Schizosaccharomyces pombe: one gene and its partners. The gene in region 3 interacts genetically with the main gene of each other region. Each region holds a gene or a part of one and is shown on either strand. Other genes may lie near its edges.

What was found.
Region 1: of sip1 (region 3) and vgl1, a mutation in one rescues a mutant of the other (synthetic rescue), as found in Schizosaccharomyces pombe (one large-scale study listed by BioGRID).
Region 2: of sip1 (region 3) and sur2, a mutation in one rescues a mutant of the other (synthetic rescue), as found in Schizosaccharomyces pombe (one large-scale study listed by BioGRID).

Annotation. Positions count from the first base shown.
Region 1 is NC_003421.2:1,212,509-1,225,517, reverse strand, and holds vgl1 (vigilin), read right to left. Parts: upstream 8,646-13,009; 5' UTR 8,377-8,645; coding exon 4,501-8,376; 3' UTR 4,069-4,500; downstream 1-4,068. Other genes in the region: meiotic cohesin complex STAG protein Rec11, read left to right, coding at 1-648, 686-1,101, 1,145-1,430, 1,518-1,832; rei1 (ribosome biogenesis protein), read left to right, coding at 2,511-3,902; Hsk1-Dfp1 kinase complex regulatory subunit Dfp1, read right to left, coding at 9,435-11,072; Swr1 actin-like protein Arp6, read right to left, coding at 12,162-13,009. UniProt on the Schizosaccharomyces pombe protein: Required for cell survival under thermal stress.
Region 2 is NC_003423.3:3,567,975-3,577,931, forward strand, and holds sur2 (sphingosine hydroxylase/sphingolipid delta-4 desaturase Sur2), read right to left. Parts: upstream 4,623-9,957; 5' UTR 4,288-4,622; coding exon 3,406-4,287; 3' UTR 2,875-3,405; downstream 1-2,874. Other genes in the region: pfh1 (DNA repair and recombination protein), read right to left, coding at 1-918, 960-2,214; SPOM_SPBC887.16 (uncharacterized protein), read left to right, coding at 6,947-7,276; SPOM_SPBC887.17 (transmembrane transporter), read left to right, coding at 8,058-9,935. UniProt on the Schizosaccharomyces pombe protein: Required for hydroxylation of C-4 in the sphingoid moiety of ceramide. Involved in the response to syringomycin.
Region 3 is NC_003423.3:1,331,400-1,341,969, reverse strand, and holds the start of sip1 (Pof6-interacting protein Sip1 AP-1 accessory protein), read right to left. Parts: upstream 6,260-10,570; 5' UTR 6,247-6,259; coding exon 6,000-6,246; intron 5,956-5,999; coding exon 5,877-5,955; intron 5,839-5,876; coding exon 5,790-5,838; intron 5,741-5,789; coding exon 2,288-5,740; intron 2,248-2,287; coding exon 1,032-2,247; intron 988-1,031; coding exon 828-987; intron 784-827; coding exon 633-783; intron 594-632; coding exon 392-593; intron 369-391; exon of another isoform or gene 352-368; coding exon 149-351; 3' UTR 1-148. Other genes in the region: SPOM_SPBC27B12.07 (uncharacterized protein), read right to left, coding at 6,808-6,971, 7,039-7,363, 7,475-7,858; gpi13 (pig-O family ethanolamine phosphate transferase), read right to left, coding at 8,148-10,570.

The DNA of each region.
Region 1 (13,009 bases), on a different chromosome or scaffold from region 3:
ATTGATTCTGTTCGATCTGTTGCCCTCAAGACATGCGAGAAACTGATGGAGAAAATATCGTTGAATGGAAAATGTATCAATATTGTTTCTAGCTGCATATTTGACGGGAAGCCCCAGAATCGAATCTCGACAATGCGAATCCTCGTTGCCCATACTAATGAACGCTACGCAAATTATTGTGAAGCAAAGACTGCAACAATCAGCTTATCAAAGCTCTTAAGGCGTGAAAAAATCCCATTGTTAGTTTCCAGCTTTGAAAGCCTATTCAAAATGAATGCGTTATTATTCATACTTGAGCAAGGATTTGAATCTTGGTTCCGTGATAGCAGCGATCACATCTTTTCGCGTGTGAAAGACGATGACAAATTTGTATATCAGTCGCAGGAGAATAACTTTTATGATGCGGATTTCATACGAGAATATGATATGAATAATCATAGGCAGCAATTAATTGAGGAAAGCATGCATTCCATTCATACAAACTCACAATTACTTGCCAGTTGGGAGGATGTTGCAAAGCTCTTGCTTTATGATCGCTTTGATGCAAAAGATACTAACAGTGTCTTAAACCCCTGTATACCGAGCAACGCAGTGATAGAATTTTCTTCTATCTATCTCCATTATTTTGCAACACATATTAGCAAAAGAGTAAGTTATTTAAAGCTTCATATTACTAAACCTCTAGTCGAAGAAGCCAGGTAAAAGACTTGAAGATGAGGTCGTAAACCAACAGCAAGCAATGTTACGAAACCTTCCATTACTATTACAGAAATACAGAGAATCTTGTGTTTCATCATACTTTTTTATAAAATGCGTAGAGCAAATTCCTGACGAGCTTCTTTATAAGAGAGAATTTCATAAGGACTTTTCAAAGTTGTATAAAGAAATACTGGATATATTTAATTCAACTACCGTTAACTTCCTGATGATTTTGTGCAGCAGATTCTTCCACCGATTGGCGGTCAACAAAGTTGTACAGGAAGATATATTATTTGCCATTGACAATGTATATAATGATTTAGCAGAAAGTTTACACGAGCAACTCAATGCATACATTCAAAGAAAAAAAATAAACAAAAAAAATCAGTTGAATGGCAATGAGTAAGGATTTTTCTTTTTGTTATTAGATTGCTAACTTTACAAGTGAAACGCAAAACTTGGTTTTAGCTTTAAATAAGTTTGGATGCTTTGCAAAGGAAATGGTCTGTCTGCGAGACGTCAATGATTGGAACATTAAACTGTCAGAAAAATTATGCGAAATTTGTAGTCTTGAAGTCGGTCCTATCGTCTGTTATTCTTCTTTGAAAGTTTTATTTCTTCTTCTGCTTTCTGATATGAGAGATAGAAACTGTATTTTTACAAATATATTTTTAAAAGCAGCTAAGGTTGCGAAGCAAAAAAATGGAAACTCCTTTTTAAGCAAAGTTTTCGTAAGTCTCTAATGTTGCTGTCTATCTATCTTTTATGACTGTTGATTTCAATCACATTTAGTGGAGTAAAATGCTAACTATAAGCAGATTACAATTACGATGCTTACATTGTTTCTTGGATCAAAGGCAAATAATTGGGATATAAATTTTAGTGACGATGACTTGAAATTGATGAATGAAGAAGAAATCATGGAACAAATTGAAACTTTTAAAGCATGGTCAATGAAATTTAAAGAGAAATCATCTGGAAACCCTTCTTACTTTTTTTCACCCGAAGATACTGAGGAGAAGGAATTATGGAATAATCTGTTTGAGGATTGGTATCCCAATCGTGCTAGAGATCCTGGAACACTGAGTCATTTAGTGAAAGGTTTAAAAGAAACAGCTGACCATTTATCATAAAACGAAATTTTAACACTAATTAAACCCCGAGGGAAAAGAGATAAGAAAGCACATGTGCTAACTTTCTTATTGAGGCAAGGAAACTTATTAAACAAAAGGAAAAGACATTAAACTCTATTATGTATTTCCTATATGATTATTCCAACGAAACTAACTCAAAAATACCTCAATTTCAAATACTCAATTTTAATTAAACCCTGAAGAGTGGGAGCTCGTGTGCTCGCTAAAACTACAATGCATGCCATTTCTTTCTTTCCAGCCCTTTGTCTATATATGAGTTTTCTTAGGACTTACTGGTTAATCAAAAGGTACGCCTTATGTTACTAAGCAATAGAAAATGTTTTTGAGGGATGCATAAATTAAGTTTAAAAAAACAAGACATTAAGATGTTTAACATATCAATTAATTTTATTTGATTTCAATAAAATTGATAATTATTTGACACTTTAAAATAATTTGGTGGTGCTACAAGTTATGTAGGCAATAGTTGATCGTAGGCAAGTTGGATTCAACCAACACCTTTTTGTGCAAGGTATTGTAAAAAAGGGTTGACTTCATCTCATTAAGTTAGTTTGAGTCAAAGAATATATTTGAGGAAAGACTCGGCTTCAATATCAATTTTTTTTTCGATAAAAAAGTGTACTGGCTAAGAATTGAATTACTTGACAGAATACCGAAATGTCGACTTCTTTTGCTTGCACGACTTGTACTGTGGCTTTCAATAATGCAGAATCACAGAAAATACATTGGAAGTCTGACTGGCATCATTATAATCTGAAGAGAAAGGTTGCTAGCTTGCCGCCGTTGAGTGCTGAGGTGTTTGCTGGAAAGATTTTGTCCATTCAAAAGCAGAACGAGGAAGTCCAGAAAAAAGCAGAATTTTATCAAAACTGTGAAGTATGTAATAAAAAGTTTTATTCAGAAGGCGCCTATTCATCACATATGGCTTCGAAGAAGCATCGCGATAACTTGAGCAAATTTCAAAGAAACAGCCGTATTAAGAAACTTCAAAGTGAAGATGCAAGTAGTATTGCTTCTTCAACCTTGTCAATGGGTGAACCTGTAGTTGATAGCGAAATTGAGGAAGAAGAAGATTTAGCTTCACAACTGACATCAAGGGCGATATCCCTTTCCAACTTATCTCTTCATGGTCGAGAAAGTGAACCCTCTAAAACTGAATTGGCTACTTCCATACCTCAATCGAACGAAGCTTCCAAGTCTCATCTATTTACACAAGAACCAACTCCTGAAGAAATTGAAGCTGAACTTGCTCGTCGAAGTAGTCAACGTCTTTCACCAAGAGATTGCCTGTTTTGCGCAGCCTCTTTTTCTTCATTTGATACATGCAAGAAGCATATGAAGGCTTCTCATAGCTTGTACATTCCTGAGCGGGAATATTTGGTAGATGAACCAAGTCTATTCGATTATTTAGCAGAGAAAATTTCTATCGGCTTTACTTGCCTTACCTGCAATCGTGAATTTAAATCACTAGAAGCTGTTCGTGCCCATATGCAGCAAAAGGGGCATACCTCTATTGCCTATGATACAGAAGATGAACAGCTTGAACTCTCTGATTTTTATGATTTTACTACATCGTATCCTGACTATGCAGTAAAGCAAGACGAAACTGTCGTAGAAGAAGATGGAAGCTCTGGTGAAGGAGACTGGGAAGATGTTTCTGATGATTCAGATAACTCCAGCTTAGATAGTCTTGAAATGGGTCGTGTACCCATTGCTGACGAATATGAACTTCATTTACCCTCTGGTAATCGTGTGGGCCATCGTTCGTTATCTCGCTACTTCCGCCAAAATCTTCACTCTAGTTCTACCGCTGTAGGAGATGGTGCTTCTATTCATCAGAACGTCGCCAGACGTGCGATGAGTGGTAATGCCCGAGCTTATAGACAAGCTGTTGAAACAAGTATAGCTGGTGTTCGCGATGGCCGTAAGAATTATAGTGCCTCTCATATCAAATCATTCCAAGACCAAAGAAGAAGAGAGGAATTTGCTAACAAGATGGGTATTAAGAATAACACAAAAAAGCATTTCCGCGATGCGCTTCTTCAATAGTCTATTTATTGTACGAGGCCTTTTGTTTCTTTCATTATATACTTCATACTCCACATTCTTTCGTCTCATATTTCTCCTTACTTCCGGTGTTCTTTATTTTGGGGTTTTCTGGGTTTTTTTAACTTATTTACGCTATTTGGAAAAAAAAAACGTCCTAATATGGTTCTTCTTTTGAGAAATGGTTAAATTTTAGCTCGTTGTTTGTAAATTTATAATATTCTTTTACTAAAACTTGTTGTGTCCTATCTGTCGTACAATGCTTATTTTCTCATAAAAAATCATAGATTTCAACTATTCTAGTTTCTTGAATTATCTATACATTCCAATGTTTATATCTGAAAAGATTGAATAAATGCACTAGGTACGCCTTTTTCCTATGCGTCTATATTTGTAATATTAAACAAAGGCAATGTAACAAAGCAAAGAAGGAATCAATAAGGAAAATGCTCGATTCAAGCAATTTCCGTCTCCTTAAAAAATGACATGTAGTAATAAAAGAGCGACAAAATGATATTTCGTACACATAATTTTCAAATACACTCTCAAAAAAATTTGAGAAATGAATGTAAGTACTAAATAAAGGCTCCAAAATTTTACCTTACTCTTGATTTTGGTTTTCTTGAAGTCTCTCGAAAATCAGATCTTTAGCCTTGACAACGCCAGCTCGACTTCCTTGGACTACTACAATTTCATCGCCTGGAGTACGAGGAACATCAATTTTAACTTGGGCGATCTTTCGGATCTTATTAATAATAGAGCCACCAGAACCGATTATACGACGGTGCAAGTTCGTTGGGATACCCAAGTAAGCAATACAATTTTCCATAACTTGCTTGATAGATTTTTCCAATGAAGCGATAGCCTTTTCAACATTTTCCTTATGTCCTCGAACAGCCCACTCAGATGAAGAAGAACCAGTGTAGTCGTGAGTTACCAGTTTCCAAGGGAAAACGCCATCCTCGTGGTCTTCAAGAACAACCTCCGTGGGTTGTACAGGCTTGATCTCGGGGGTATCAACAAACACTTTGAGATCGGATCGAAGCTTTTTCATTAAAATACCTTTCATTATACTTTCATAGACCGTATCGGGAACTGTAATCATCTGGGTATATTGACTGGCAACCTTCTCTTGAATCATTTCCTTGGCTTTTTCACAATTCTCCGGACTTCCGACGATTGTAATAGTGACAGTCTCTTCAGGGTCAAGAACATTCGGGATGTTGAGCATGGTAGACGTTTTCCTTTCGATGTCACGACGAGTGGAGCCCATTCTTCCAATGATTGAGCTTATACATCTCTGCGGGACTTCAATCTTCTCTTCGACTTGGTTCTTCAGCTCTTCAACTATCTCCAATAATCGGGTCTCAAGGGCTTCAACGATTTCCTTGTCGCCTCTCAATACAACAGAATTCCTCTCCTCTTCGGAATTTCCATTGGAGAAACTAATCAGACGAGCAGTCTCGGTTTTATCAGTTGATCCACCGCACTCTTTGATGGTATTTTGCAGTTTGCTTCCGTTGGGTCCAATTAAGTAGCGATGATACTCACGATCAATTTTTATAACTTTCTCGACAAGATTCTTGACTTCCTCTGCAATGGCTGAAATCTCTTTAATGGCATTTTCGACATCAGCCTTAGCACCACGTACCGATACGGGTGTAGTTTCTTCAGTTGAAACGTCACCTATGTCTATTTTAACATCAAATTGAGTTCTGATGTTTTCCACAGTAGAACCGTTACGACCAACGACCCGTGAAACCGCCTTTGAAGGGATGTCAATCGTCGAAGTATAAGCAATCGATTTTTCATACTCGTAAAGCTCCAAGAGCTCTTGCTTGGCTGCAGCTACAGATTTTTTACCACCACGAATAACAACTTCGTCAGGAGAGGTCGGTTTCATCAGCTCATTACCGGTAGAATTGGAAGAATCGTCTTCACGTGGAAAACGAACGCGAACCGAGAATTTTTCCTCCAAACGACGAACGTATTTCCCATTAGAACCGATTAATTGACGGTGAAAGTCATTGGGAATGTTAACTCGTAAAATAGTGTCATCAATAAGTGCTTCAATTTGGGACTTAATACGTGCAGCTGTTTCTTCAACGTTTTTCTTTATACCTTGGATTCGAATATGGCCCTCTTCTACGTTGATTTGTACACCAAGGTCTTCACGCAGAGAAGAAACATTACTACCGTTCTTGCCAATAACGTTCTTAGAGTATTGAGCAGGGAAATCGAACTCTTCGACATGAGAATGAAGGATTTCGTGGTTCTTGGCATCACGAACAACTTGTTTAATTTCACTAACAACGCGTTCGACATCTTTGGAAAAACCACGGATATAGACATCATCGTCCGTAGAATCCGGACGATACGACACTTTACCAAGTTGGACGATTACATTTTCTTCAGATTTACCAATTATAGCGTTCAGCGTAGTGCCTTTGGGACCAACAATATGCTTGTGGTACACGGAGGGAACCTGGATTATTTCAGACACAATTTTAGCAGATGCTTCAGCTGATGACTTAACTGACTCGGCCAAATCAGCGAGTTCTTTCTGAATTTGGTCAGGCGACTTTCCATCATCAGCTCCAATATAACAGACAATGACATCAGGATCTTCTTCACCGTATTCTCCCACCAAAAGCTCTACCTGATGCTCATTTCTGAGCTTCTGGAGATTCTTACCCTTGGAACCAATAACATATCTTTGAAGAAGCGGATCAATTGTTACCTTGTAAAACTTGCTCTCCGGAAATTGATTAACAAGGGCGAGAAGTTTAGCACGTCCCTCACGGACAGCTTCCTGTGATTTACCAGAAATCTCAATTATGACTGTTTTATTGGAATTTGACTGAAGCTCCTCACGCTTTGGTAAGTGATATTGTACGGCACATTCTTCTTCTAATGGAATCAATTTCCTCGAACGAAGGAACAAACGAGCTACTATGCTAGCAATATCAAAGGGGTTTTTAGAGGATGCATATGCTGTTGTGATATTTACAGCGTCAACAATAGTAGAGTTTGCACGTTCAAGAGTTAAACGGATACCTTCACTGATGTTTAAGGCAGGGCCACGGACACTAACGACATCAGAATCGCCATTAATAGGAGGCAAAATGACGGAACATCCGGATTTTCTCAAAATATCCTGGATACCAACCCCCTTCTCTCCGTTAATGAAACGGTGTTGACGACGAGGAATAGGTAGCATTGTGGGGATGGTAGTACGAAGAAGTTCCTCAGCTTGACCTTGAAGATACAAAGCACATTCGCGTACAGCTGATTTTTCACCAGACAAAACAATGGGATTGACAGGGGCAGAAGGATCTAAATATGCAAAAGGAATTTGAACCTTCAAATCCCTACCCTCTTCAAGCTCTTTAATATTTTTACCGTCTGGGCCCCTAAGAAGACTGTATAACTCAGTAGAAATGTGACTGATACGAACAGTAGTGTTACTGGTTCTTTCGTTGATGATAGCTTCAATATCCTTTTGGGCAAGTTCAACACCTTCGAAATCGCCCTCAATAGTAATCGTAGTCATTTCATATTGGGGTTCCAAATCGTCGAGGGTAGAAGCAGCTGAATTTTCCTCCTTTTCAGGTTTCTTGGCATCATCAGAGGACTCGTTTGCGGTGTTGTTACGCTTGGGAATTTGAATGCGTGTTGAAGTGCGATCCATAATAGACTTTAAGTTTTGTCCATTAGTACCAATTATAGCCCCAACAACAAAAACAGGACAGGGCATAGTTTTCGTTTCACGACGACCAATCAATTTCAAAATTTGGCGTCTAGCCGCTTTGACAGCAGAAGTCTTTCCTTGAATTAAAAACGTGGTATTCTTAGTTTTTGATGCAGTAGAAACATTAATACGTGTAGAGGTCTGATGCATGACAGTACGAACAATTTCAGCAACAGAATTAGGCTTTCCCACGAAAGACATACGAGGAGCTTGATTATCAGGGCTTAAAATCAAAGTTTCCGTAACAAAATCAGTTTCTTTTACCGAAGAAAGAGTTGATTTTGTAGAAGATGCACGAGAGCTAGCAGAGAACGGAATCTTGTCTCTGGAAACTGAATCAGAACCAGCAACGCTAGTATTGGAAGCTGTCTTTCTGACCCACGAAACAATCCTTGGCTTGCTGGGACCAGTTTTAGAAAGAAGTGTAGGAAATGCATCCTCAGAATGGACGTCAATGGCAGGTTTTTTGGAAAATGATTTCGAATTGTTTTGCTTCTTTCCTTGCTGAGCATTTTCATGCTTTTGCTGTAATATAGCAGAAGGAGTCAATCCAAACGAGGAACCAGCAGCAGATGAAGCAGCGCTTAATAGTCCATTTGTGCTGGCACTTTTGCTACCAGAAGGAACCTGAGATTCAGTTCCTTGCAAGTTTTCATCGTTAGTCAGTTTCTGAAAATCATATGAGTCCATCGTTGTTGGTTGCTCAAGATTAGAGAGATGTTCCATTAGGCAAGGTCCCGAAAGTGTATACAATAAAGATTTTTACGTGAGAAAACAAAAATATATAAGCTTCCAAACGTTCTTCCCCGCTTAACTCAACCTCGTTTTATTTACTTTTTTATACAACGTCGTTCGTTCACCAAATTTAAAGTGTTTAGGTTACTACTAAGTACAGTAAATAGCCTGCGTAAAAAGTTGACGCTACAGTAACAAAATAGAGTAAATCGCAAACAAAGAAAGCGAAGTAGCGTTGACTACTGGTGTCTGTTTAGGGCAGGTTAATTTATGGTAAGATTACCTGTGATTTCGCACGCGCAGACGACGAAAACTAGCACACATCGTTAACACGCTTTAAACGCATATACAGGGCGGAGAGCCGGGTACAGTAAAACGCTGATTTTATACTTTCAGCAATTAAGAAAATATGTCTATAAAATAAAAAATGCTATTTATTTCTACAGTCAGAAAAATAAATGAGAACTCATGATATATTATGAGTAATCCGAAATTTAAAAAAAAAAAATCTCAGACGTATCCTTGCACGTACGCCTGAATTTGTTAATTAATCGATTAAAAAGCAAATTTAAATTAACTGATTGTAATTCATTTATGATATGTTATTTAAATATACAATTGATAAGATTTTTTTCTCGCTATTAAGAGTGAAAGTAGACGAGTTGTCAGACAAGTAACCGGTTCTAAAAAATCTAAAACGTTATAAAATGTCCTTTATTAAGCAAGAATCATTTTGCTCAGCCAGGTAGTAATTCATAAGCAACGATGACTAACTTCCCCAATAAACTATTAATGAATAACACTTTGTTCAATAGATAACTTGGGATACTGGTAAATCAGAAAATAAACCGTGAAACTTTTTGATATAACAACTATTAGAAGTATACATGTAAAATGAAGAGGAAGATAAAAAAAGAAAGGTAAATAGCACATACATAGATGTAATTAAATCCCGAGAAACTGCATAAGGAGGTGTACACAATACGCATGCACGATCGTATATTAGTGAAAAGTGAATGTGCCAAAATTTGAAGACACGGGCTATTTTCTCAATCTGGCCTTAAGGGACGTTGAACAAGGGCAAACAGTTCATCAAGGTCTTTAAAATTATCGTTATTCTCGGCAAACCTTCGATGCCTACTGCTGCGGATATGAGATTCAAAATTATCAAATTTCTCCCGACAATTTTCACAATAGCCAGGTTTCGCATCTACACGAATTTTCCGTTGACTCGTGTTGTGAAGCATCGCTTTATAAGAGTAGTCCTTGCCAATCATGCCAGACTTTTGCTGAATAATACGCTTTTTCAACTCTGCGATATCTCTCCCATTAATTGTTACCACCGGAACACTAGCAGCACTACCGGAGCGAATAGCAGAATTATTGGACATTGCAGCAGAAGTCAAGTTTGACTGTACTATACCCGATGCTTGCATACCGTCATCCAAACAGTGATGACAATTTGTCCTTATAGAAGGGGATGTATCTTGGGTAATTCCAGAAATGGCAGTTTGAGGGGTGTTGTTGATATTGGTGTTATAAGTGGTATTTGTGTTCATTCCAGAGATCCCGGTGTTGGATATATCAGGCAAGGAAGCTTTCATCGAATTCGCACGAAGAATCAGCGATGGTTCTTGACTCTGTCGTTGCAATAATTGCTGGTCATTTTTAGCAACCAAGGACTTGGAAGTACTGAGACGATACTTTGTTTCAGGTACAAATGGACACCGGCCAATACTAGTAGCACGAAAGGTCGGCCAAGGAACGTCCCTGTCGGGAAGCGGTTTTTGCCATTCACGTAAGAGTATAGGTTTGTAAATGTTAGCTATGTCATGCACGTAAAGGTAGGGTCCACGAAAATGCACAAAGTCCTGTCTAGGAACAGATAAATCGCGTTCGTTCGTTCCTTGCACCTTTTCTACGTAAAGCAAATAACTCAAGTCATTCCCCTGTTTGGTGGGTGCGTTGGTTGTGCATTGATCATTCTCCATTAAAGTTTTTAACACGCGGTTGCAAAGCTTTTCCATAGACCAAATCTTCATGTTCAGTTGCCTAGCCTTAGTGATTACATCCTGTTTAGCATACTTAACCGAAACATCTTGGATAGCCCGAACTGTTGCAACATGAGTAACATTTCCTGAGAAGAACGTCTCAACATGTCCACCCAATTGCTGAATTTGTTTTTTCACTCGATGAGCAACACTTGGGTCGCATCCATCCAAATAAAAACGGAAATGAGGAAATGCCTTCTTGTACTGTCTTTTCCATTCCTGTAACCGAGCCTTTTGAGAGGAATTCTTAGATCCCAAAACTTTCCCAGCTGCCATGGATTCCGCCTTCGACTCAGTATCAGCATTAATGGGGGCCAGCCCCTTCATGACAGGAATATCCTCATTTTGAGGAGCATCATGTTTAATCCGTTTTACGGACTTGCGATATGATTTAGGGGTAATAACAGTTTGATGTTTAGGGGTGGTTGTGATAATATTTTCGTTATTAACAACCTCAAAATCGGTTTTCACTTCTCCTTCATCTTCCCTGTTGTCTTTCCAAGTTATAATTTCCTCCCTTTGTGCTTCGTTTGTCTTTTCCTCAATTCGATATTCCTTTTGTTTGGATACGGCATCATGTTTCGGGAGTACTATATTCGCAGATCGAGGAGCTAGAGGACATCTTCCTAGGTTCATGTGGTACAGCCACCTTACTAAATTAGTGTATTTGATTTTTCCTCTTAATGAGAGCCTAGCTTGGGATTAATTCTCTTTGTTTACTTTCGCAAAAGACAATATTAGTGTTTGGTGGTGGTCAACTCGAGATTACTGCAATTTGGCCAACTTTTACAGCTTAAAGTAACGATTCAATTGGGTAACATCTATGAAGAAAATATAAAATATCTGTACATATTTATATTATTAAAGTAAATTTATATCATTTAATCAACTTTTACTTTTATATTTAAGGCTTTACTGTTGAAAATGTGAGGGAAAATATATGTAGCCCATGAACAAGGCTCAACAGAAATAATTTGGGATCTCGATTCTTCTTATTACACAGTTTTCCTTTACTGAATTATATGATTAACTTGAGAAAAAGAACAATTTATCCAACAGAAGCAACAAAATTTCACGAAAAGCTCTTTCTATCCAAAATGTAAACAGACGCGACACGACTACATTGCAACGCAACGCGCTACATTCTAATTAAAGTAGTATACCGTGACTGCTCTAACTCAAGGTTGCTTTAACTCTTATACTGTCAACCTGAAACTGCACTGTACATATAAAATGCACTTGAAACAGTAGTGAAGAAGTGCTGAAATTTTTCTTTTTTTTCAATCTTGTTTTTCAGGCACATTAATAATATGTAAGTATAAACACTTGAAGAGATAGAATGTTACATATGATGCTTTACAAATCGATTAGTCTTGAAGACACAACTATGTGGTTAAATTTTTATACTTGTATACTGATTTTCATTCCTATCTTTTTTATAATATCTTTCATTTCGCTAACGCTTTTTAGGTATGAATTATCCTGGCGACAATAATAAAGATATAGTTATTTAGCTGTTGTTTTAGTGGTTGATCAAGAGATAGAATGATTCGTTAATTAATATAAAAAGATTTTATTCTTAATGCATGCATATTTTTCGTTTTATATTGCTGTAGCCTTAATGTAATAAACCAATTTCTTAAGATGCGAATTATCAGCTCGCCTTGAGAATTTTGTGAAGATAGAAATTTAACCCACATTATTGAGTTTTAAAATGGTGATCTATTATATTCTCCTTTTTCGTGTCATTATGTTTGCTCCATGTTCTGAGTACTCAGAACGAGTTATTTTATTCGCATTCCAGTGCTCCAACGGCATATGAGATGCCTTTTTCCATGGAAAGCAAATAGGATCTGAAGGTTCAAAAACTTTAACTTCCCAATTAGCTGGTGCCAGCGACCGTAATTCAGATGATAGTCTTTTATGAAATCCGGGAAATTTACAGTTTCCTCCTATTGTAACAACATTTTCAAGCAACATTGCCTGTATATTTTCAGGAAAGTGGGTGACACTTTGCATGACCGCCTCTGGAATCCCAGCCTCACGTATTTCGATATCAGATGGGGAAAATAATAATTCTGGTATCATGAATCTCTCATTTGAAAGATTCAAAACTTGTTGCTCTATTTTTTGATTAATATCTCTAACAATATATCCATGTTTTCCAGTGCTGTAATCGGGCAAAGCATAACAAATTTCCAATTTTGACCGTGGTTTTTCGTGACATATCTCCATGTCCTCCTTGAAGTTTTGAGACACATAACAAACGGACTCTTTAATTTCATTAACAATGTATGTTTCTTCCATCATATTGTACTTCCGGTATGAGATGACTTCTTTTAAATAATTCGTAAGTAATTTCCCTCCCACATCAACTCGCTTTACCGCTTGTTCTTGAACAGAGAAATCAATCACAGGAATTATGTGTGTAAAGCTATATCCAGAGTCAATTACCAAAACGCATTCTCCATGTTGACCAGTATACGCATCTTCTTGATTCATTGTGAAACTTCCATGATCCCAAGGAATTAGCTCAGCTGGGGTGCAAGGGAGGTAAGCATCGAATTGGAATT
Region 2 (9,957 bases), 2.2 Mb from region 3:
GTGCCTTGTGAATAGATATCGCATAAGCCAAAATAAGAGGAATTTGGCTTCTAGAAGCTTGAACCTCACCATTGGGAAGCTCAATATTCCAAGTTTCCCGTTGTACAACAATTGTACGTTCACCTCCATTTGGAAGTTTAAAACGAACTAATGGCCATTTTATTGCCGTGGATGAAGCTTTACGCATTGCAATCAATTTATATTTCTTTTGCTTAACGTCTGGAAGATCAAAGGGTGAAATGTCTAAACTATCATATTCAAAAGCATTTCTTCCCTGCATTTCAGCATCCTTTTTTTCCATTTGATAGGTCTCATCATCTATGAAACCTATAACTTTTCCAAGAGATCCATTTACTAACTGATCATCTATATTCTTTATAAGCATTACCTGAGCATTTACCTTTAACACTAAAGTGGCAGGAGCCATGCACCCTTGCAGTAATCGGTCACGAAATTCTTTATCTCGAACAGTACCCGAGTCAATAGCGGTAAACGTGACAGGATTTTGATTAATTTGTTGCATACGCATATCGTTCGAACGCTCAACCTCATAACGTGTGGGAAATAACTCTGTCGGAAGAAGCCCATCTTCATATTCAATCGTTCTATTAAGAACTTTGAATTTTCTAACCGATTCATCAGATAATTTCCCGAGGCGCAATTCATTAAGCATTTTGACAAATTCCTCATCCTTTTGCCGAAAAACGTGAGTCAATCCTATTGTAAAATCAAGTGCGCTTTTCCATGTCTGAGATTCGAAACAGAATTTCGATTCTTTCCCATTTTCTGGAACAGGAGGTAACTGAAAAAAATCCCCAGTTAAAACCAACTGAATTCCACCAAATGGCTTACTATCTTTGCGAATAACACGCGCAACCTCTTCTAACTTGTCCATTAATTCAGCATCGACCATAGAAACTATAGTTATTAGTAAATATAAACTCACTTAAATTGTTTACCTTCATCAATGATCAAAACTCTGGTGCGCAACCAACGATTAACACACTTCTTATTTTTCTTTATTTTAGATACCAGGAGGTCGACAGATTCACGAGCAAGGCCTACCCCAGCAAAGGAGTGAAGTGTTACACCGCCGATATTACAGGCTGCCAAGCCTGTAGAAGCGGTAACAGCAACTCTGTCAGATTGCTTTCTATATTTAGATTTTAGGACTTCAATTATTTTTCGGAGGAGAACAGATTTACCTGTTCCAGCAGAGCCCGTAAAAAATATACTGTGTTGTTGCTCAACAACCATGTCTAAAATTCTTTTTTGCTCATCGGAAAGGAATATGCTAGGGACAGATTTTTTACGAGAATCACTTGTCTTAAACAAAGAAGATCCTATTGGCGATTTGGAAGCAGAGTTTAAAGGAACAGAAAATTTTTTAGATATCTGTGGGGTAGACTTAGATTTACTCATGCGTTTTTTAGCCAGACTATCCAAAGAACTGCTTCGTCCATTGCTAAGCTTATTTGAAGAATCATTAGATACAGTGTGTTGACTGATATCAGCTGAAGTGCTGGTTCTTTTAGGATCAGGATCTCCATATCTGTAAGGATCCACTGCCCAAGGAAGGGTTCGTGAGCGTTTTATTCCCTGCCTCGTAATATTACTAGATATTACGCTACTTGCGCCTTTTTCAGAAGTATGGTCTTCGTAAATTTTTGAGAGATGATTTTTTGACCGCTTTTCGCTCGAGAGCATTGATTTAGTTAACTTAGTATGCTCGATAGGGGATGAAGACCAAGGAATTGGTTTTTGGTCAATATCGTTTTCTAAAAGTAGATCATCATCAAAGTCATTTTCATCAATATAGACGCCATTCGCTATTTCAGTGGAGTATTTACTACCCAAGCCAGAATTTTCAAAAACGGGCAGTGAGGGTTTCGAAACATCGAATCCCACGGTGTTATCAAGTTGTTTTAAGCTAGCAGCAGAACGACCTCTTTTGGCTGGTAGGGTTATTGGAGATGACGGAAGGTTATCAGACTGGCTAGAAAATGTTTGCTGATCATCATTAGTAGAGGAGCGAGAGGAATTGAAGTTTAAAGAAGCGGACGAAAAACCGCCCAATTTGTTCAAGGAGGGTTGATGCGATGACTCGTTTTGTGTATGAAGCAAGCTGCTTTTCTGCTGAGCTCTTTGAAACATGACGGGGATACGTTTCCTAAAAGAGTGACTAAATTTATAAAGAGATTGGCACGAAAACATTCATCGAATTACTTCAAGAAACTGGAAGGCGATCTGTACGCAGGTTGTCTAAAAAAAGAAACCGTAAACGAAATAGATCACCCAAAATTGTTTGATCGAAGAAAAGCAACAAGAAAACAATTTCAGTTTGAATTTAAACAACAATCTGCTACTGACTTATGCGACCTCGACCTAACACCTATGATAAGCGGTCCAAGCACATAAGAGTTGGAAGTATCCCTTTGTTGATTGTATTAATTGGGATACCGGTTGAAGAAATTTGTCAATGTCGAGGAAACGGCTGTTGACAAGGAGGTACAGAAATGAAAGCGCTATACTAATAAAAATCAAATTTACGGTGGTAGTGGACGAGACAAATGAAAGCGCGTATGTCAAGACGCGTCACGTCTGTCACCACCAGGCACGTGTTTTTTACTTCACAACTTTTGCACAAATTTTTTATCATTCAATACTGTAATTATCATAAAGTCCTTTTTACATTAGTCGTTCCTTAAGTATAACTTGCATAATTTGCTTTCGGGGCCTATGCAATGCAATGCAAATAAATTGACTTTTGTTATAATATGTTACAATCGAAGCAAATATTAACCCGTGTTTACAGTAAGTTATTAATTTTATAATATTTGATAAAACGCGTCTACGATACCATATCCTCGGAAGTCTGTAAATAATAAATGCTATCAATTAATAAATTATATACTGTATGTAGACTAAAACAATCAATACTAAGTCGAAAATTCAATAATGAGCGACAAACGATTTAAATTCGTTGACCAACCAACTTTGGTAAAGATACACAAAAACATGCATCTTTAGGTAAGTATCGTGTTCTTCAGCAGTCCGTGTCAAACATCCCGTTTTAAAGAGACTTTAGAAGTGGAAAATAACATAAAAATACAAGGTTACGGTTATCACAAATACCTAGAGTCATAGGAGGGATAACTTCAACAGTAAGGATTGCCAATCGATTTGTACTACCGACAAATTTAAAAGGAAGAACAATTAGATTAATAAAATTTCAAAAAAAATGAAAATAGCAAACAAAGAAACTAGAAAGAATGAGAAAAAATTAATAGTAAACATTTATAACTCAATATAAAAAAAACAGTATATTGGATTCAGCAGAAGTACTAAGGATAAGAAAGATTCAAAAAATGCAAATATCACAGAGCACATGTACTTTTGTAATTTCTAGTTAACCTTCTTTGCATTCTTAGCCTTTTGCTTTTTCTCGTAAGGAGTTTCAGACTTGGGAGGCATGTAAGTTCCCAAAACGTGGTCCCAGAAGGTAAAGAAGGGCTGGCTAAAGTTCTTTTGGAAACCGTAAGGTTGGTGATGAAGGTCATGGTAACGAGCATTATTGGCAAAGAACATTTGAAGAGGGTCATAAGGGAATACGTATCCACAGTGATCATCAACAGTCTTCAAGGTAGAAAGGGTGAAGAAAATAACAGCTTGTTGAGGAGAAAGACCGGCGGCGAGATAAGCAACACCAGCGCCAAAAGTGTCCAAAATCAAACCTTCAAAGGGATGGTTGTAAAGGGCACCCATAGCATAGGGAACTTGGAGACGATGGTGATGGGCATGAATCATGTTGTAGAGCTTCTTGTTGTAGTGGAGGTAACGGTGCCAGAAGTATTGCCAGCTGTCAATGATGAAGAAAGCAAAGAAGTATTGGAATGCGGGAACAATAAAGTTATAAGCCAATTTAGGGGCAAAGGGAGCAACTTGTAACAAAGCAGGCAAATTCTTGCTGAAGAAAGCCTCGTAGCGTAACATTTGCTTAGCCTCGTCAATGGGTTCAGGATAGCCCTCGAACATGGCCAATGCGATTCCAACGACGACTTCGCAAAGTTGTTGGAAAAGCACGGCTTTAACAACAGCCATCTGAGGAACACGGTTGCGTCTGGCTATCTCCTCCGGAGGATGAATGCGATACTTCTCAAAGACAGGTAATTCAATGTAATGCAAAAATCCGAAGAAAGCAGAAGCAACCCAGTAAATGATGACAGGAGAAACCAAGGAAACGGTCACTGGGTTCCAGGTAGTTAACATTTCAACGGTGGTAACCATAGTGGCAAGAAAAATTCAAATTCGAAAATATAGCAAAAAGTTAAGTGAAAGTGTAAGAAAAGAGAGAAGCTGATTAGTTATATATATGCGAATATATATCTATGTGTCTAGACTGAAGAAAGAAAACAGTTGGTACAATATATACAAATCACAAACGGCAAGAAATGTGATTTATACAAACAATTGAAAAACGATGAAACCAATAAGGAACCTTTTAAAACAACAAGTAATAAAAAGGATATTTAAACGAAACAAACCTCTTTATTTGTTCGATTTTCAATAATTTGTCTTTGGGAAAAACAAACTATCAAACACAACGATTGTGGCGGAGGTTCGGTGAGCTAGTTTGCGATGGTGACAATTTATATAATGCAAAGCAAAGTTTAAGGTACAAGCTTTGCGCGGCTGTCTTTGTCGATTTACCGATTTAAGCAGCGAGATGTAGTTAATTTTTAAGAAACGGAACTTTCGCCAACGAAAAAATCCGAAATTGATCAGTATGGACCAACAAAATTAAATTGATAAATTATATCGATCTGTCTCAAGGGAGAAGGGAAGGCGAGAACAAAAGTAATAACCGTCGGTGTTTTTAGACACAAATGGAATTACAGATAAATTAGAAACTTGCAAGTTTTCAAGTTTGAACACTAAAAGATGTCAAAAAATTGAGACGTATTGTATTCGGCAATAACAAGACCTTGTTATTTTAACAACCAAAAACTAAGTGCCTACAATAATTTGCAATTGAAACTATTACAAGAAGGGATTAAAGATTAAGCTAGATTGCTTGACCCTAAAGTTGTGAAAGACTTTTTGAAAAGTAGAGGAATTGGATGTTTTTGAACTGCGGAATGCAGGTTAAAACTGCGATATATATATTTTGCTGGTGTTCTTGAAAACACGAGATTTTTTTACAAATCGTATCATCTCATTGTAGGCAAAATCTGATGTTTTTTTTTTGCTGGTAACATGTGATGTAGCGGATCTAAACTACACTACACTATATTAGAGCGGGAAGCAAATATATCTCGCTATAATTGTTAGGGACTAAAAAATGTGGCTACAAGTCGTAGCATTCAACGGAAGCTTTTTGTTACTTTTTACTCCCTTTGATACTGGGATTTTTTTAAACTATCGGAAGGGTTAAAGTTGTACATTCCGCTGAACACAGATAGTAAAAAAAATCGTTTGACAAAAAAAAAAAAATTTGTTTTCCGTTTTTTGTTTGGAATCCGTCTAGGTCGTTAGTAATTTAACAATTTCAGCGAAAGACAGCAATTGAATGGGTTTTAATTTTCGGTACAAAGAGAATTGACTTTTTATGAAGCGACTACGAAGGACACTTGATATTGCTATTTTCAACAAAAAATAACATAATGTCGATAATTAAACTACCACGGCTTGTAAATAGAAAATAGCACTGAAGCGACCTGTGAAATTGTCAGCGTGCTATTGCTAAACAATGATTCCGTGTAATTTTATATGATTGTGCTTTCATAACAGATGTGCATGCGTAGAAAGAAAAGCTATAAACAATCAACATAGAATACCATTCACACTAGGAGTAGCATACCTTAAACTCATAGGATCCAATGAATTAACTTGCAAATCCATTTAATAGTTAGATTGACTGATTTGTACCAAATTGGTAAAATGCCGGTCCCCATCCCCTCTAAAAAAAGGACTCTTTTATTTACCGGGATGCCATTGACATCTCTTCTGTTTTGCATGTTTTGGAATTGAAAATGCAATAATAAAAAGGAATCAATAATTTTGGATTCCTGTCTAATAATTGACGGTTTTGTTATCTTGGTTGAAAAATCCATCCCAGCTGCCTAAAAGCTGCTACAACCTTTGTTTAATTAGTGCGACACAGTTAAAAATACTATATGTTTCGTAATACAGTGGATGATTTCCATTAAACTTTTGACTAGATCAGCAGCGATTTTTAAAGTACATTATACCTTAGCCGGCTAAAAACATATGGATTTGGAAAAACTACTAATGAATGTATTAAGAGTGAACATTACAGTCGGGTGCTTTGCAGTACAAATATCCTGGTAGCTGCATTAAGAAAAAGATATAGTAAAGCTGTTAGTACAAAAAAAAAAGTAGTAAATAATAATATAATAAAATAACGCTTGATAGTCTTTTAAGAATTTCATTTTTCGAATACCGCCTTGTGAATTATGCGTAGTTTACTTGTATCTATATCGTTTCAAATTTTCATACTTCAAGGATTTCCCTAAATGAATTCTTGAATCCCCCACTGAAGTCTTTTTATCCCACTTTAATTTCATACCACAGTTAAAATCATTTGCTAACCTTCTATAGCATATAAACTTATGTACCCCCAGTAAGGTCTTTTTCCCCACTTTAACTTTTAGTATTAGCTGCACCTACCAGCATATGTCCCCCACATGTGTTTTTCTTTTTACTATGAAGGTTCAATAATGGGGGTATTCAAGTCAAAATAATCTTGTATCTGTACCGTCAGAGAAAACTCACCAAACGAACGAGCACAAGTATTAAATCTATAATCACTTACCTTAATGATTTCGTTTACTTTAATTATCTTATAATTGCATGAATTTTGATAAGCGATTGCAAAAACGAACAAATGTGATATAAATATGTTTGTATAGGTGATATCTTAAACATGGCTCGGACCAATTTACAATATCCTTACAAAGTCCTGTGGTGTGCTCAAGTTAAAGTCGTTAAAACGGGTTTAATTAATTTTTTTGCTCCTAGCATTCAGCGTCAACGTGAGAGAGTATGTGAGGGTTATCTACATGAAACCCCCCTGTTACTAATGCAAGTAGTAGAAAGAGAAGCAATAACTTTAGCAAAGACAGAATTCAAAAATAGTTTTAGTAATCTTCATTTTTTCTTTCTTTTTTGGCTGCTTAATTTCATTTTATTTTTCAGAATACATTTGTATTCTTGCAATTTTCGCATGTCGATTATTTGTGAAGAATACTACTAATGTTATCATTGTTACTTTTAAGAATTTTTTATATCTTTGGAGTAGGTTATTGGCAGTGGAATTTTGAGTTTATCTCATTTTTTGAAGTAGCGAAATTGACGCAGTATCTGATAGCACAGCTATTGGCTGTTAAATATAAGCGCCCAAATTTGACTAGTATTTAACAGTCCTTGGGTCCATCAGCGACACTTTGCATTTTTTACAAACTTTTTTCTAAACACCAATTTCTATTTCTTTGCAGTAATAAAGAGGTCCTGGACTGAAAACTCACTGTTGTACTTAATTAGGTGTAGGTTTGCATCCAGTTGATAAGGATTATAAAGTTTTTTCAATCTTCACGTTGAGATCGAGATTCATCGCTTAGCAGAAAATTTTTAGATTAGTGGTAGGTCGAAAAGGTTCTGGATTTTAGAAAACGGCTTTGATCAAACAACTTTAAAGATTAGATTGCTTTTATCTCGATCTTTGTTTACAATTTCATCAAAAGTTTTTTAAATTGCTTTTACTGTTTTTGAGGTTTGGAAGCAAAATCGGTTTCTTTCCTTGTGGGTTTTGGGATTTCTCTAATATTTGTATCTTTAATAAGTAATCTATTTTTGTGAAAAGGGCTTTTTGCTTAGCATTAACACGGATCTTTCCGTTGATTTGTTGTGTTTTATTTATCCTCGGCAGGTTATTTGGATACCTAGTGTAATATATATACATATATTATAAGTATTCTCGTTTTTATTGTTTTAATATTTCAATCCTCTTTTCTTTTTTTCCTTAGTTTATCGAGAAGATGAGCATCACACAAAAAGTAAGGAATTGGGTCGAAGAGTTCGACGTGATCGTCGCTCGTTCGGCATTCGGACGTTGGTTTCGTCTAGAGGGATGTGGTCATCCTCGGGAGCGTAAAGGCAGTCGCTTTTCTCTCGAAATTAGTGCTGGTCTTACTACCTTTTTTGCAATGGCTTACATTTTGGCTGTCAATGCTACCATTCTCGTAGATACGGGCGGCACTTGCGAATGTACTGAAGCTAATCGTGATGATTGTGACAAACTTGATGACTATGTACTTTGCAAAGAAGACTTTCATCGTGATCTCGTCACAGCCACCGCTGCCATTTCTGCTCTCGCTTCTTTCTGCATGGGTCTTTTTGCCAATATGCCCGTGGGTATGGCCCCTGGTATGGGTTTAAATGCTTATTTTGCGTACCAAGTTGTCGGATATAATGGCACTGGACGTGTTTCCTATCGAGAAGCTCTTTTAGCTGTTTTTGTTGAAGGATTCATCTTTACTGGTTTAACTGTTATAGGTCTACGCCAATGGCTGGCGCGAGTTATTCCTGCCTCTTTGAAATTTGCTACTGGTGCTGGTATTGGTTTGTATCTCACAATTATCGGACTCAGTCCAAGTGCTGGGTTAGGAGTCATTGGGCATTCCTCATCTGATATTGTCGCTTTAGGAGGATGCCCTCCAGAATACCTAAACGCTGATTATAGCTGCAACGGTCATCAATTACAATCAGGAAGAATGTGGGTAGGTATATTCTGTGGCGGTGTTCTCACTGCTATTTTAATGATGTACAAATTTAAAGGTGCTGTCCTTGCTGGAATCGCACTTGTCACTATCACAAGTTGGCCTAGACGCTCATTAGTAACTATGTTTCCCCACACGCTTACAGGGGATTATAATTTTGATTTTTTCAAAAAGGTTGTTAGCTTTCGAAAAATTAACCGTATTCTTGTTGCCCAACAGTGGAACGTTACAGGCGGTCAATTTGCCATTGCACTGATTACTTTTCTGTACGTTGACATTATGGATATGACTGGTACACTTTACTCAATGGCTAACTATGCTGGTTTGGTCGATCCTCGTACTCAAGACTTTGAAGGATCCGCAGTTGCTTACATCGTCGATGCTTTAAGTATTTCTATTGGGTCACTTTTTGGTTGCTCACCTGTTACTGCTTTTATTGAATCCGGGTCTGGTATTTCGGCTGGCGGTAGAACAGGGATTTTAGGTATGGTTGTAGGCATTTGCTTTTTCATTTCTCTTTTCTTTGCTCCTATTTTTTCAAGTATTCCAGTCTGGGCTACCGGTTCTACATTAGTACTTGTCGGCAGTATGATGATGAAGAGTACTACATTGATTAACTGGAGTTACCTTGGTGACTCCATTCCTGCTTTTATTACAATTGCTTTGATGCCATTTACCTACTCGATTGCGTATGGCTTGATTGCCGGTATTATTTGCTACGCTCTACTAAACTCCATTATTTATGCTATTGACAAAATGTCACGCGGTAGACTTGTACCGGCTGACTATAATCAAAAAGAAGCTTGGACATGGCGTGTCGAGGGGGGTTTATTGCCTCAATGGGTACGTCGCCTCTTTAAGGGTAACCGCAGATTTTGGGAAGATCCTGACGACCGCAAAGCTATGGACAATGCCACCTTAGAGATGGCTACTAGTAGATCTTATTCGGAGGACGGTAAAAATGAGAAAACTACTCATGAGGACGTTACAATGAAAGAAACATCTTTAAAGAAGATGGACGATGAGCGCATTTCTGTTGACGAAGCTGTTGGCGAAAGTGAAAGTTTCAGTAATAGACAACAGGATTTCCGGACGCCTTATGCTGGCATCGATATGGATACTGATGATCGTATTTAAACAGTTTTTACTAATACTATAT
Region 3 (10,570 bases):
TGTTAGGTTTCTAGTATCACATTTAAATCCAGTCATTCTTTAAGGTTGCGATATTATTTTCTTTTAGGCAAGGGCATCAAAAAAGTGTTTATTTATTTATAATTAATAGTAAAGGTATAAAAATATAAGAAAATTCGCAGTATAAACATTACTCAACATTTTGTATTAAGATCTCTTCAACGCATTTTTTTTGCCTAGGAGAAAGTTGTTGAATGATTGCTTTGGCCTCATCTGGCTGAATAGCCATAATCTTCAGCAGTTTTTCACCGATTCTTTTTCGTGCGTCAGCGTGCTCGACGAGGATACTAAAATGTGCAGCTATCGGAATAGACATGCTTAAAAATGATTTTTCTAAAAGTTAGAATAAAATAATATTAAATAATACACTTACTCTTCTCCTCCGGAATATGGACATGCATATCAAGCAATGCAGGTATAAACTCCGTGACATAATCACCACTTTTCAGAACTTCACCGTTCTGTAGCATCGTAACCGATTTGTAAATAATGAAACGGCAAAGAGCGCTCATGCTTGGGTGTTTACTGTTAACTAACATCAGCGATGTTACACAACGAGTTCTTAAAGCAAAGTCCTATATGTTAATGTAAACCTTCCAAAATTCCTAACAAACCTCTTCTGAGCTCTTCAAGGAAGAGAATAGTTCTTCCAAAAAATCGTGTACCACAAGCTGCTCACTGTCTAATATAGGAGCTGCAAGAGTAAGTACAAGGACCATGCTCATAAAAGCAGTTTCGTTTTTCTCCTTTTTATCACTATCATTACTTTTTTAAGGTTAGTAATAGTACAGGTGGCAATCAAAACTTACATCGTTTCTTTGTAGATGTTAAGGAGGTGTTCAAAAAGAGTGTATATCAAAGTTGTACATGTGTGATCATTTTGCTCAACCATTGTACTCAACAACTTTCTAAGAGCAGCTAACAACTCTTGCTTAGAATTTTTTAATAGTTGTTGATCGTCCATAATGACTAGACAGTTAGCATGAAATTATTCGTTTATTTTTAGGACTTACCTTCATAAACATGCATTGCTGTCGCAAATAAATCAACACGCACAATAGCGGGGAAAATGTTGGAAACATCAAGAAATGCATTAAAACACAAAATAACAAATTCACTAGCTTTTTTATTGGTAGCTGATTCAGCTGGATCAGAACGTAGGCCCGGCACTCTAACCGTTAAAGCTAATGTCAATATTTTGACCAATTGAAAAAGCATTTCGACGCTTTCTGATACAGTAGGCTCCATAGATGTTACAGAATCTGTTTCACAAAACTTCAAGTCATTGTGTGCCGGGTTAGCAAGAGCTAACTTTTTCACAAAAATGACAATACTAGCCTTCGTTTCCCAATCCTCCGTCAAAATCAAACGAACTAAAAGATCAACAACTTCGGGGAACACATTATGGTCATAAAGAACCTTGGTACATAATTCTTCAGTTAAAACTTCAGTCATAATTCGCATAATTCTGAAAACTGGATTTCTAAAGCCTTGCAAAGTGCTTGGAATTAAGAGAGATTGGAAGCAGACACTAAACAAAAAAAAGTTAAAAGAGTACCTGTTGGAAGCATAATTTATGTTGTCTTGGAAGAATACGTCCTCCTCAGAAAGCGACAGCTCATCTCCACTTAATATTCCATAAATCAGATTTGCATCAGTAGAAAGTAATATTGTTAATGACTCTGCGATGTTCAGCCAAGATTTCTCATAAATATTGAGAAGTATTTTAGGGTTTATACTTTGGACCCGAGTGAAAGAGGTATCAGCTACAAAATCTTTTACTAAACTAGGACCAAATTGCAATCTGGAATATCCTCTTAAAGCCATAATCCAATGCGAAGATAGCCTTCGGATGTTAGAGGAAAGAAATTCTTTCAAATATGACACATTCGCTGAATGTACCAGCAAAGAAGCCCAAGCTGATAAAGTAGCAATACGAAGAAAATATTTCGAGTCATACTTAAAGTGACGATTTTCCTCAAATCCAGCCCTCTCTGGTAAACTAGATTCCAACGCTTCTTTCAATAAATTGAGGATTTTAGCTGCTTGCGATTCGGTTTTTAGAAGTCCAGTTCCAATAAAATTGGAAGCTATATTAAGAGACATGGCTACTATTTCAGGAGATGAATCATCTACAAACGCGGAACTAAAAGCAGAGCTGATTTGAGCTTGAAATTGGTCCAAAAGAGAAACATCGTCAAAGTCAGGATCCATAACATTCGAAAAGTCCTAAAAAATTGTTAGCGAGTTTCCTTTAGATTATCCTTACCGTTATGATAGTATCCAAAAGTTCAAAACCCCCCTGCTTCAAGTAAAAGTTGTCTGAAGTAGACAAAACAAAAGCAGCACGGACTAGGTCAGATATCCTAGAAATCAAGTATTTTGCGGGCTCTTTATTTTCGGCCATCACTTCAGAGATACATGTTTTAAGGCATGTAGCTGCATAAAACTGCGTCTGCCAACGGTAATTCTTCTGGAATAATGGATTACTTGCGTTTTCGGAAGTTCCATAAGCCAAAGATACGGTATCTTCATCTAGGTTGTTTTGTATATCTTGTTCGTTGGATCTTTCAGAACTCGAAGTATTTTTTATGCCGACAAGAAAAAGTAAAATATTTACCCATGAGTGTATGTCCGAATCTTTGTAATCGTTTAGCCAGATATACAGTATGTTCTTCAAAAGCTTGTTGTCAGGAGTGGTGTCGAGTGATTGCCAAATAAGCCTATCAAAATGTCGCTTATAACATGATTCCGAGAACTCATGGTTTTGAAGCAATATTTGGTATAAAACTTCAATAGAAATTTCCCTACGTTTAGGTTGCTTTAGGTCAATTATGTTACCACAAAGCTCCCTAATGAAGAAATCAGAATTGGTTTCTAATGGTGTAAATAGATATAGGTGCTGATAACATTTGTAAACGTGTATAATGTTATCTCCCGTATCTCTACTAAGTAAAAGCAATTGGTGAGCTAAATCGAATGCGAAATGCGAAGTAGAAGAATCGGATCGCAAGTTTGGTCCAAGCTCATTTATCAAACAATCCAAGTAATTGGCAAAAAGAGTGGACGGGAAAAATAAACTGTTTCTCTTCTTTAAGAGCTGAACATCAATATCACATTCTGGCAATAGCATATAGCTCAATAAAATGCGTGTCTGGGCAGTTAAAACACTCGGAATGGTCTTTGCGATAGACCCAAGAGAAACGGAAGAAGCACGAATAGAACACTCTCTAACAAGGTCATTCGAATCAGTATTAAAAACTTTGAGCAGCTGATAAGCGGTGATGAGGGTAGTTTGGGGAACTCCGGAACCAACCTTTTTTAATATATGGCCAACGGCTAGAATCAAGACAGCCCTGCAATTTGGATCTCCCGACTCTGCAGCACGTTTAATTATTGTATCCAAAACGGACGTCGGTTTGCTTTGATATAAATATGCCAAAAACGCATAAGATTTCGAAATGTAAGGAATTAACTTCGGATCGTTAACAGCAGTCAAGTTTTCGAGCAATTCTATCATAAGGGATACAACCTTGTCAGGCAAGGTAACTTTTTTGTTATCGAAAGCAGAGAGAAATCCATAAATGGAAAATAAAGTATTTGCTGTTACTGCCTTGTAACGTAAAATATCTCTCCCACTCTTGAGGTTTGTCACAGACGCTACCATAATTTCGAGAGTGCTCTCCATAACCTTCGGAGGTTGATGACAAAACATAGACGCAAATAACTGGATCGCGTTATCAATTAAAGAAGTTAAAGACGGGGGTACGTAAGGAAGTTTTGCAGAGTTTGATCTCGAAATCACTGACAGGGAATCAGAAGATGACTCGCAAATATAACAAGGAAGTATATCATCCATGGTTGTTTGAAATTCTTCCTCTGGCTGAGCGTAAAATCGTGAACCAATTCCAGGTATAACTCTTGGAGAAGTAAAGGCTTTCGCTTGAACTATTTCGTCCGCAGTATCATATCCTTGTAAAGAAGAAAGTTCGGCTATAGTAGACACAGTCGTGGATAGTAATTCTTGATCATCTAAACTCATTCCACTTAACTGAGACAACTCGAAGAAACATTGGAAAATCCGAGCAAGCAAGAGAGAGCGAAGTTCCAAGTGAGAATAATCTGAAGCGGGAATTGGCATGGTAATTTCAAGCCTTTTGGTTAACGAAAAAGCTTTGTAGAATTTAAGGCAGTTATTTAGGAAAATAATGACTCGCTTCCTAACATCAGGTGTGAATAAAATCTTGTTATACTCCAAAAACGAAAGCAAGCACTGTAACGCTTCAAACCGATTAAACATGTCTGCATTTGTCTCCATGAAATTTTGTGAATGTATTTTTGAAGGTACTCTGGAAAGGGCATTCTTCCATAAAATTAGCAATTGGGACAATTGCATTCTAGTAAAAGAAGGACCAAAAGAAACGTAAGCGCTTAATAGTCGCCAACCAGTCTTGATTTGTGCTTGTGCCGCTAATAAATCCAATTTAGATGATGACTTAATCAAATCCAAAGAGAAGTTAAATAACTTTGAAAATATAGAAGAAGCAACATATAGAGGATTTTCTTCGGCGGCAACATAAATCGACATCAACGACAAAGTAAGATTATTGAAAATACCAACATTCAATTTGGGACTTACTTCCTTAGGTTTAGAACGAAGGTGCTTAAATTCCAACTCTAATCTATTAAAAAGAGCAAGCAAAGTGGGCATTAAAGGAGAAGGCATAACGGATAGTAAACAGCGCAGCAACCAGGCTACTTCATTCTTCAATGAATCTTTACCCAAGTATAGAATCTGTAGTGTAGTATCTAGTAACTGACTATATAAAGCAGTAGCCGAACCCTTTGATCGGCTTAATATATCAGCGGTGGAAGCCATCGCAGTCTTAACAGCAATTTCCGAAATCTTCGACTGATCTTTTAAATAAGGCTCTAACACTCTCTTTAAAAGTATTTCAATTCCCTGCAATTCAGAGCTTTGATCGAGAAATCGCCTTCCAATCACATCGCGAAACAAGTATGTACAATGATATTGCTCCAACGAAGACAACCATTCTTTTGAAGTAGAGTGTGATTGGTGTAATAGAATAATATCCACTATAGTAGTGTAGTTGAGAGAAACAAAGGATGGACGTTGCATTAGAAAAAGATGCTTAACGGCAAAAACAAGAACCGCTTTTGAGCTTTCATACTTTGCATGCTTGGAGTGATAATTTTCGACAAGAATCCGTAGGGCGTGACGAAAACTCTCAGTTTCATCAAAACGGCGAGTAGTAGACCGATTTTCTACTTCCTCATTGTTCTCATCATCCGCTGGAGTTGAGGGTACTGCGTTTGCAGCGGCTTCAATCGATTTGTCAGCTTGAGCACTTGCAAGTGCAGAAAAGCATCTTCCTAAAGAAGAATGGAGCAAAGAATTATCAATTGATGATTTTTTAAATAGAAAAGATTTGAACCATTCCAATTCTGAATTACGAAGACGTGAAGAGCCCAGAATGTAGTAAGCGCAACGAAGTGCAGATAAAAGAACATTCGTTGATGAAGTGTTTAAATTTGATTTAATACATTTCCATATTTCTTTTATCAAATCTTCATTCGTAGACTGAATAGATGTTTCAATGCATTTCGACAGTCCATCTAATGCGATTGAGCGAACTCCATATGACAAATTGGTTTTCGAATATTTGAAGAAAAATCTTATAAAAGTCTCTTGCTGATTGATCTATTAAGGTTAATTATAAGTTTATAGAAAATATCCAAAAGAGTAATACCTGATTTCCATATTCTTCCAAGCAAGAAGTCAGAACGGATAAAACGTTACTACCGGTTAGTTGATATTTCAAATATTCTAGACATACATAATCTCTATATAGTCTTTTTTCTCATGAATGCTATCCACGAAGTAAAGTAAAACTCGATGCTGATGATAACCCTCGACTAATACTTGTTAACATATACCATTTTCCATAAATCTCACATACGTCCTTTTAAGAGTGCAATTATACAGTTAGAAAGAAGTTTTCTAGTTGGATAAGCAATAAAATTTCCATATTTTTTGATTAACGAAAGTAGGGGATTTAAATTAGTTTGTAATGAATCCTCGCGAGTATTTTTGTTCAGATTCCTCAATTGTTTTTCGTAATTGAGTAAATCAATATATATGGTCTCCCTCTTATCTACATCAGCTACTTTCGTCAACTTTTCGAGCGGCAATGATGCTAACGACATATGTGGAGCGGCCAAACCAATTTCCCTAGGCTAAATCTATATACATTGAGTTGCGAGGTACTGAAATCTGCAGTCGACATTTACACGATTTACAATAAATTAATAATCAAATAGTCTATAGATAATATATTTATTATTATCATTATAATTAACCACTTTACTTATCAACCACGAACACAAAGATGTTTTAAATTGTAGGAGACTACTAGAATGCAATAGCCATTCCGAGTATCGTTAATTTTAAAATTAAATAAAACAACGAAAAGTCATTTATAGATTTAGTTTTGAAATGGACAAAAATTTTGTCTGAGAAGGCAAAAATCACAGCTCAACGCTAGTATGAGCATCTGCAATGCAAACAATTATTATGCTATTCATAATGGTATTTCCATGTACAATAAGAACAAGGGGTCTCATGATCAGAAGGAGTACTAATAAAACTTAATATTTGCATATTTCCATAAAACCTAATTGAACATTTTCATAAACAAAGAAGAAAACACAAAAAAAAAGAAAGGACAGATATTAATGAAGAGCTCGAAATGCTTTGCTGGCCATAACTCACATATGGGAGAGATTAGTATCAGTATAATCATCGCGCTTGTTATCTAAATTAAATGAACCTAAATTATCAAGCTCATCTTGTTTTTCTTTTTTTCTGCTTCGTACTCCAAGTCCAAATGGAATAACCAGCACTAAAAACCCTGTAAAAGCCATCACCACACCTGAAAAAGAAAAGGAAATTAATAAATGAAATTTCAAATACCTAGTTTGAACTATAAATATACTTACCTGCTGCTTTTCTTATTTGGTCCCATTTCTGCCTCTCATTTTCAGCCCTCAATTTACCTAACGAAACGGCTAATAAATTGTGTAGTTCAACAATTCTTGCACTCAATTGCTGGACTTCATTCTTTGTATCATTTTTCCGATTTTCAAACTCCATTTTGCTTTCGGTATTAAGCTTGTTTAACTGCTCGTGAACCAATTGTTCCAAACTTTCTACTTCCCTTTGGTTTGAAAACAAGCCTGAACGTAACGAACTGATTTGATCTTTTCTCATATTTATTTTCTCTGAGCGAAGCTCCGACAAAGCTGTACGAAACAAATAGGAGCACTATACAAGTTAGCTATGACAGTTCATTTGAAAGCAAAAAAAACCGTCAATCTATAATTAAAGATAAATTTAAAGACGGAAGGATTCTGTAGCTTAATAAATCATACGTACATTTTCAAAATCAGCTTCAGACAGGTAATTGAGATGACTATGTCGCAGCATATCAGTAACAAACATATTCGTGACTTCGAGAAGACCCTCGGCCTCTTTTTCTGTATATCCTTTATCCATTAAAGTTTTCAAAAATGTAAATGTGTTGAAGTGATATCCTTCAAGGTCTCTGAAAGGACGATTTTCGTGATTGGCATTTACTACTGAAAGACCCTTTTCCATTTCACCTGCATCTGTCCCTTCTGATGCATAAAATCGAATTTGCTTCGTTAAGGATAAAGAATAAGGAATTAAACGAAAAGTATTGATACTATGCACTTTAATCCCATGCAAGGTAATTCGGGATCGATTAACATCTATAGCTTTTCGTAGCAAAGAGAACATTTTGTCAAGCTACCAAATTTTGATTATAAATTAAGCAACTTATTAACAGACATAATTAATTTTTGTTAAAAATTGGGTACGATGATTGTGGTGAATGTTAAATGTACATATCAGAAGGCGTAAAGGAGTAGTATGGGTGTACCCATAGAAAATAATAATGATGAAAATGCATTGATAAGTGGTTTTGATTATTTCCTTATAAGGTTTAAAATGTTAAAGGATATAAAAGAAAATATTTCTACAATTCTAATTATACGTCAAATTGAACGAGGGCAGTGAAGCTTTATTGTTATTCAGCATCTTCAGGAAATTTGACAACAGAACTTCCGAAGCATTGGATCAGGACAAAGAGCTGATGAGTAACAAGTAATATTCCACTTAGCATAAACCGAGGTGCAAACACTTTCCAAACCATCAAATGGCGACGAAAAAATCCAGCAAAGAAGACAGTACTCGTCGAGATCAATAGGTTATAAAGAATGAAAGAAAAGGAGAATCGAAACAAGTTTATCAAGAATCTATTTTTCTTGGAAAGTGGTTCGAATGAAAATAGTGGAATCGAAATGCAAGTAAGTATCGGCGCACCGACCGTATGCAAAAACATGAATATAGCGCTTATAGCCTGGTTTTCAGCAGATTTTGAATGAATGAATGCAAAATTCCAATCAAGAGACGATATAGCAGCCTGATTTCCCGTTGTAAAAAAATGCGACAATCCCAATAAACCTAGCGTTACCGAAAAGAAGTTGTGACCAACACTTGGCTGCCATTGTTTAAGTTGAATAAGAAGCAGGATTTGTAAAAAGCAAGAAAATAAAGAGAGATGTCCCAGGGGCCTTTGCAAAAATGAGAGAAAAGAATATAGTAATGCAAAAACGAAATATGATCTTTCGATGACATTTATTTTAGCAAACTTGGATCGCGACAGTAAGAAGAATTGCCATATCAAAACACCAAGAATGCAAATTACGTAAGTATTTGCAAGTGAGTATAAAACATGATGATACTGCTTTTCTAATAAAGCATCATTCGCGAAAACATGATGAGCAATCCAAAATATTGAAGATATTAACTCGAAAAAATAGAGGATTGAAAGATGATAAAGTTTTAAAGAAAGGCCAAGAACGCGTCGCAAGTGAAGTTGCAGAATGAGAGGCAATATAATAGAAGAAAGAGCCATTAACGCCAAAACAATCAAGGTTCTGAGGCTGTTATCAGGAGTTGAGATGTACGTGCTAACACAAAACGCACCTTGCTCTTCGCGACAGTTAGTTACGTACGAAGAAATTACCTGTAAAAGGATAAATGCCAATGCAGAGTAAGTAGAGCATGCAAAAAGGGGGCTCATTTCGGAAAAGCATTTGCAAAACATAACTAGTCCAATAGTGATGATCAAGAAGTGACAAAGGCGATCTTCCCATACTGTAAAAGAGTTGGAACCAAAACTGCAAACGTGTAGAAAAGTTATAAAAATACTAAAGTAGTCCAACTTGACAAAACCTTTAAAGTACTCCATCAACTTCTGATTAAAGGAATTTAACAGGATGTAAAATGAAGGAAGTAATACATAGAATTCCGCCGGGAACGGAGAATGAAGTTCGTTGTTTGCCAAAATTAAAATTAAGCAAACCGGCAAACATTTCATGACTGATGGAGCCATATTGGCAGACATCCTAAAAATCACCGACTTATCTTGCATCAACAAAGCCAAGTTAAATCCACCTATAATAAGAAGTAAAAATCCAATGATCATAGGGAAAAGACTAAACTCCGCCCAAATTGCTTTAAAGTAAGAGAATGCGTCTCTTGCATAGTCAAAGTCTAAAAAGTATTGATCTAAATAAGAGTTATTATTTTTATGGACAGAGGACGAAAGGAAGTCAGAAGCATCTAAATCATACTCGCTAAAGAAGCGATTGAGTTGACCGATATTAATCTTTTGGGCTTTCGACAAATATTCATCTCCATAGTAGTAAAAAGGTTCTGGAATTAAGGTACCAAGGTTGCCATACGGAATGGGATTTCCTAAGAGCAAACTTAAGGTAGGAACTAGATCTACCTGATTTGCACTTAGTACTTTACCTGGTTGTTTCAAATAGCCAAAGGTTGGCTTTTTGCTATACATCCACAGTACAGAGTTAATTTCATCGAATGAATCACCACCGTGATTTCCTTTGTTGTCCATACCATGATCTCCCATGACAATGAGTAATGTACTATCATCCAGTAGATCCATCATTTCTTTCACACACCTGTCCATTTGATTCAGTTTATCTCGCATTGTTGGATGATCAGGTCCCAAGCGGTGACCAACGTGGTCAACGCCCAAGTAGTGTGCTATTAGGACATCAAAGTTGGCATCTTTTATATAATCGAATACATATTGATTAACCTTATTATCTACTCCATGAAGATCAGGTACATTGAAAGAAAAAGCAGGTTGAGAGAGTGTCTCATTCAAATAATCATGGAACAATACGTCCCAAGTATCATCACCTAGCAATACGATTTGTTTATCTAATGATTTCCATTGGAGAAGCAGATTATCCTCATCAATATTTGTTCCAGCGAAGTTAGAACCAAGATCAATAAAAGTTGGTAACGAACCAGTAGTGAGACCTTTCAATCTTTGAGATGTAGTAGTTGGGGCATCTGCTATGAATTGTGTTAAGTAAGAGTTTTCTGGATGAAGGACAGAAGTTTCGTATGGAG